Linked DNA regions of Danio rerio. The protein of the gene in region 1 purifies or fractionates together with the protein of each later gene. This does not show direct contact. Links are inferred from orthologs where the notes say so. Each region holds a gene or a part of one and is shown on either strand. Other genes may lie near its edges.

Region 1 (3,840 bases):
CTAGCAAGGCATTTTACCAAACTAAAAATGTGTTTTGATATATTTACCCTAGGAAATTTACAAAATATCTTCACAGAACATGTTTGCTTTATTGAAATTCTATTTTAAGCTGCTTGGACATAATTTACAATGTAAAAGCGCTGTATAAATAAACTTGAAGTAAATTAAATTGAATTATTATGCAGTTTTGACTTAACATCCTAATGAAAAACAATAACTTTCATTATTTTGATTTTAAAAAAATATACATGTGCAACATAATACTGGTTTTGTGGTAAAGGGTCATATATAGTGTTTATTAATTAAGTTTATTAGTAGTAGAAACTTACTAGTTTTTCTTAATACTTAACTAACATACAGTTTTAACAGAAATATTTTATTTAAATTTATTAGTAAATGTTGAAACTAATGCAATTAATTAATGTTTAATATAATATATGCTATGTAAAATAATTTTCATTATTAGTGTGAACAAATTTTAGGTCGAAATTGCAATTTATTTGGTCAGTTACTCCAGACAGTTCGCATTAATGTGTCTCTTGTGTTTTTTTTTTAGATTGGAAAAGTCTGTGTGGAGAACTGTCAGAAGTTTAAGGGCATTGATGTGACCTATCAGTTAGAGATTGTCGACAGGAACATCACTGCTGAAGCTCAGTCCTGTTACTGGGCGGTTAGTCTTGCACAAAACCCGAATGATAATACAGGCGTTCTCTATGTGAACGACACCAAAGTGTTACGCAGACCAGAGTGCCAAGAGCTGGAGTATGTGGTCATTGCCCAGGAGCAGCAGAACAAGCTTCAGGCCAAGACACAGCTCACCGTCAGTTTTCAAGGCGAAGGTAAGCTTAAACGTTTGCAAGACTAAAGTGGAGATAAAAATTTGAGAACAAGCTAAGCAGTGATGAAAAGATCACTGAAAAGTCCTATTCAAGTAAAAGTAAAATTACTTGCCCAAAAATCTTGTGCAGGTAGAGTAATAAGAAATAAATGACATTGATGAAAGTTTGGTCACTGCAGGCTTTCAGTCAAAATTCTCTTAAAGACATGGGTGTAAAGTAATAATTAGTGTAATTGAGTATTTTTTTTCTGAGGAATTGTGCGTTACTAAGTGGTGAGCACTTAACTTTTACAGTACACTTCTGCAGATCCTCACTTGTCTTTTGATTGGTTTAAATAAACTGGATTTTCATGTGTAGATTGAGCAGCAATCCTAACAAGTCTTGAGCTTGATTTGTGGAGCTTAGTATCTGTTCTAAATACTAGGTACAAATGAAAAGTAACCATTCTTAGAGTAGTTAAGAGTAGTGAGTATTACAAAAATTGTAGATCTGTTAATGTTATTCACTTTGAAGGTTCACCAAGGTTATGCATTTTGACTGGTTATGCATTAAGCTAAGAGTGTCCAGCAGTTGACTCCTCAAACCAAGCTCAAGACTGGTTAGGATTGCTGCTCATGGAGATATTGTTTATTTAAACCAATCAAAAGACAAGTGAGGATCTGCAGAAGTGTTTTCAGATTAGTGTGCCATATGCATTAGACATTTAGCCACAGGTCTGTGGGCGGTCCTTGGTGTGACATGATTTGATTGGATGGGAATCCTGGAACTGATTATTCTACTTAGCCAATAACCGTGGACAAGAAAAAATAAACATAAAGTAGTGACTGCAGGGTAAAATAGCACAGTAAAAGTACCGATATAGAACTAAAAATGTACTCCAGTAAAAGTAAAGTGCACACCACTTAGTAAAGTTCAATTCCTCAAAAAAAAAATACTCAATTACAGTAATTAGAGTATTTGTAATTTATTACTTTACACCGCTGTGTTTAAGAGAATTTTGACTAAAACCCTGCAGCGACCAAACTTTCATCAATGTCACTTATTTCTTCACAGTCTTAAAGAAGGCAACAACTTACTCCCAGGTGCTTTACGGATGATTTTAATCATTTGAACTTGAGCAAACAGGAGTGAAGAAGTGCTACTGTAAATATTAATATCTAGATTATTATCAGCACAATTAAAATGATAAATATTTCTTTCTCAACTAGCTAAAATATAGGTATACATTGCATTTATTTTAATTCAATTAACAAAAGGAATATTTCTATCTTTAGTTACCTAACAAAAGAAACATTTGCTTATGTTAAATGATACCAGTCACACTTTACAATAAGGACCCTTTATTTAATGTATTACAAGTGTCACTAATAATATGTACACACTAAAACATAAATGGGAGAATTATCTGAGATTTAAACAGTTTGAAAGTCGATTAAATATGCTTTAATATAGGAAATGTTAGTTTAAGACAATATCTGGCCAATTTTGATAAGCTGGAATCTGAGTAAAAGTACTGATATAGAACTAAAGAATCTCTAAGAATTTAGACTGAAAGCCTGCAATGAACAAAATTTCATCAGCAGAAAGCAGCAGAAAGTTAAAACTGTAAAAAAAATGAATACTTATTAAATAACTAATTACAAGAGGTGTTCATTCCGCTGTGGCGACTCCTGATGAATAAAGGGAATAGGGTGAAGGAAAATTAATGAATGTTTGTTTTCAAAACCGTGAAAAGACTGAACCCAAAGTGTGTCCACAAGTCAATGAAAGGTGAGAAGTATAAGTGTCATGAATTGTGTTTTTTTTTTTTGACCAATTCAACCTTCAGAAACGTTATCTGTAATCTTTCATCATGCAACAATCATTTCTGTTCCCTAATCATGACCACAGTGTTTTCTACAAAATAAAGAGTTTTTAGTTGAAACTTCTTGTTTTTTTTTGTTTAACAGTTTTACTACACTGTAAAAAAATGTTACTTTACTTTAAAAAGGTGAATAAACCCAATAACTTAAAAGCAACAAGTTGATTTTACTTTAAAAAAGTCAGTAAACTCATTGACTTGACTTAACTTCTATAAGTACACTATAAAAACTTATTAGTTACTTAAAGCAAGTAAACCAATTGCCTTAAAAGCAACAAGTTGACTACACAAAAAACAATATAAGTAAATCAATTGTAACTTGGAACTGTTGAGTTGACTTAATTTTTAGAATTATGTAAATTGTACTCACTTAAAAATAATAATAATAAAAGTAAACTTATTACTTTTTTTCAATACAGCTTTATTATATTAGTCTTTTCTAGCTTTTCTGTATCTAGCAAAATGACATACAGTAAAATATATCTGCTCTTCCAGACTCCAGTGTGTCGTCTAAATTCCATACAGGCTATAATTGTATATTTTATAAACTTAATGAAGCAGCAAATATATAATATTTTAATTATTACAGTATTATTAGAAAACAGATGAGCTAAAATAGTCTGACACTGTACAAAGGGATTAGTTGATTTTAAGAAGGGAGTATAATTAGCATAATTATTCAAATGAAGTCCACATAACAGTTCCAAGTTACAATTGGTTTGCTTACATTACTTTTGTAAAGTCAACTTGTTGCTTTTAAGGCAATTGGTTTACTCGCTTTTAGTAACTAATCACTTTTTACAGTGTATGCACATAGGTTGTTTACCTAATAATTATGATGCAATGAGTTTACTGTTTTTTTAAGTAGAGTCAACTAATCACTTCTTACAATGTAACACAGTATAGCCACAACTAAAATTCCTTCAAATATTGAATGCTAAAGATTACATTATTTCTGAAAAAAGCATGTGTTTATAATTAGAAATTCGTCACCTTAAAATTTTAAGGTTCTATCTGACATTTTTGTCAAAATTGAGTTTTGATTGACATATTCTTATGACAATTTATTTACATTTTAATTTTGGGATGTTTTTTACATTTTAAGAAACAAATCTTAAAAAAACATATTTGCTATGCGGA
Region 2 (2,494 bases), on another chromosome or scaffold:
CTTTATCAGTGTCTGTCTCTATCACTGATGTCTGTTTAGCTGACGTACTGCATGATGAGAAGCTGTTACGACTAAAGTATTTGTTTATTTTTTGTTGCGCATTGCATGTGTCTTGCATGTGTTCCGCATTTTCTGTTGTTTTCTGTTATTCCATAGAATCCCATTCTAATGTGATCCAAGCTCTGATTGACTGCTGGTCGCAGAGGCCTATTAAAAGGAACTTACGGAAGGGTTCGGGGAGCTCATTTGTGGTGCAAGGGTTGCTGGGAGTGGAGAGCTTCTGGATTTTCCCTACCTCTCCGGCAGACGACCAACCTTTAGTCTTGTACAACTGTTCATGCTTGCAACGTTTTGAGAGTTTGAGCTTGTAGAGGTGGCCTGCCTATTTATTTGATTACTTTTGACTGTTTATATTTAAGGAGGAAGGTAAGCTTCTTGTATTTTTCTTTAAATATACATAAGTAATTTAGTTCATTTACTTTGTCTTTTGTTTGTTATTTTGGCCTATTTTTCTATAATAAATCTATCAACCACTCTCATCTGAATGTCCGAGGGGGATCTTTTGCATCAAGTTTTTTGTTTTGTTTGGGAAATCCACCACCCACAACACTTTTTCCCCCGTTTATTAAGCCCATGTTGTTTTCCCCTAGTCTTGGGGTGTAATAGAAGCAGACACGCATGTGGAAACGGTGGGTGGGGAGAAGTAGATTATTTGCATTTAAAGACATGCTACAGAAACAGCTACACTGTATTCAGACACCGAAATGTGCAGATTCTGGTTACTATAATAAATAATCTGATGAGTATTTTGAGCTGAAACTTTACAGACACATTCTAGAGACACCAAAAGATTATTACATCCTGTAAAAGGGGTAAAATAGGTGCCCTTTAAGATTTTGTAGATATTTGGACTAGAAACAAGACAAAAACTTTAAACAAGAAAAGCATTTTTTACAGTGTAACCATTATTATTTTTTTTTTTTTAATTTTAAAGTCAACTTCAGTATTGTCGAGGTTGAAATGAAAACTTTAGCTTGTTTGCACTTTTGACTGACTGTAAAATCAAAAAAAGAAATGCAAAATTTGGCTCGGAGAGAGAAAGCAGTTGTAGCACCTAAGCTCACTATATACATGAAAATTGCTTTTCCCAATGGAAAAAAAAAAAAAAAAAAATGAAACTAAAATCTTGGAAAACTAAGCATTTCGGCAGGTGTCCATATCCGAGACTGTGGAGGCTGCAAACCCTTCTCTCATGGGTGACGCATGATCAGAGCTCAACTCCATGTCCAGAGTGAGGGATTCTGGGGAAACATGGCAACACACAGTATTATAAGAAGGTGGGTTGGCTGTAATAAGTTACTTTCATTAAATTACTTATCCTCAAAAAAAAAAAGTAAGGGATTTTTTTTGTTTTTTGTTTTTCAGCCAATGATAAACTTCCTGTGAAAGGTTAATTTATTTATATATTATTTATTTCTTGCCACATCAGCAACTTATGGCTATTTCGTGGCAAAATGGATGTACATAAAATATTAAATGATAAAAACAAATTCATATTACAAAAAAAAAGTTACATAGACAAATATATAAAATATTAATAGATAAAATGGCACACATTTCTTTTTCAAAGTTAAATATGATATTTCAGTTCAATTTTTGATAAATAATTTAAAACTCTTCCGGGTGGTACCTTTTTAAAGATGTCCATCAAAATACCCTCCTTATAAAAATTTTGTCAAATGGATTTTAAACTTCTACATTCCAACAAAATCTGTTTTATGGTAAGAGCAGCCTGGCAGTACATTACATTTAGGTGATTCTTCGTTATTCAGCAAACCTAAAATGTCCGATTCGACATCTGGTATAGACCGTTTGATCATGTCTGGTCTCAAAACTATAATTTGCTAAATGCCTTTTGTTTATTTACGGGTTAATTTCATGTAATTTATTTTTTATGCAGTTGTCCCATTCTCTTTGCCATATTTCGTTTATGTACAAATTGATTGTGGGTTACAAACAAGGGTAAAAGGTTAATGTGACTATTTTCAATTTCATATGGCTTCTTTTACATCATCCATGTTGTAATGTAGTTAAAGTACATTCAGTTGAATAGACTTATTCATTTATTTAGTTGTTCAAGGGAAATCGAAATTAAAGACCAAGTAACCACTAGCAGTCAGGATCAGCAGGCGAGCGCAGAAACTCTGACAGTAGAAACACTGGGGTAAAATAAACGGCCACATTTTTAAGATGTGATGGCGGGAAATGGAATTTGACGCAGTTCTTCTTGGCCGGTGTGAGATCCACTTTATATCCTATATCTATCAGGCAGTGAATATCATTAATTTTTTAAAGAAATCAGACCTTAACATGGCAATTTTATAAATGGAAAGATTGCTGAGGCTGGCTGACTAAAATTAAAAGTCCATGTGCATATAACCCATTACAGTTACACAGAAACTTAAATTCAACAGTTCTTTATAAATTAATTTTG

Evidence for each region.
Region 2: the proteins of ret (region 1) and stat3 purify together in Homo sapiens (affinity purification with western blotting; 3 studies listed by BioGRID and IntAct, with this or other methods). This does not show direct contact. The link is inferred for Danio rerio from reciprocal best matches to the Homo sapiens genes RET and STAT3.

The regions. Positions count from the first base shown.
Region 1 is NC_133188.1:28,812,702-28,816,541, reverse strand, and holds part of ret (proto-oncogene tyrosine-protein kinase receptor Ret precursor), read left to right. Parts: intron 1-556; coding exon 557-839; intron 840-3,840. UniProt on the Homo sapiens protein: Receptor tyrosine-protein kinase involved in numerous cellular mechanisms including cell proliferation, neuronal navigation, cell migration, and cell differentiation in response to glia cell line-derived growth family factors (GDNF, NRTN, ARTN, PSPN and GDF15).
Region 2 is NC_133178.1:15,780,309-15,782,802, reverse strand, and holds the end of stat3 (signal transducer and activator of transcription 3), read right to left. Parts: intron 1,302-2,494; coding exon 1,195-1,301; 3' UTR 755-1,194; downstream 1-754. UniProt on the Homo sapiens protein: Signal transducer and transcription activator that mediates cellular responses to interleukins, KITLG/SCF, LEP and other growth factors. Once activated, recruits coactivators, such as NCOA1 or MED1, to the promoter region of the target gene.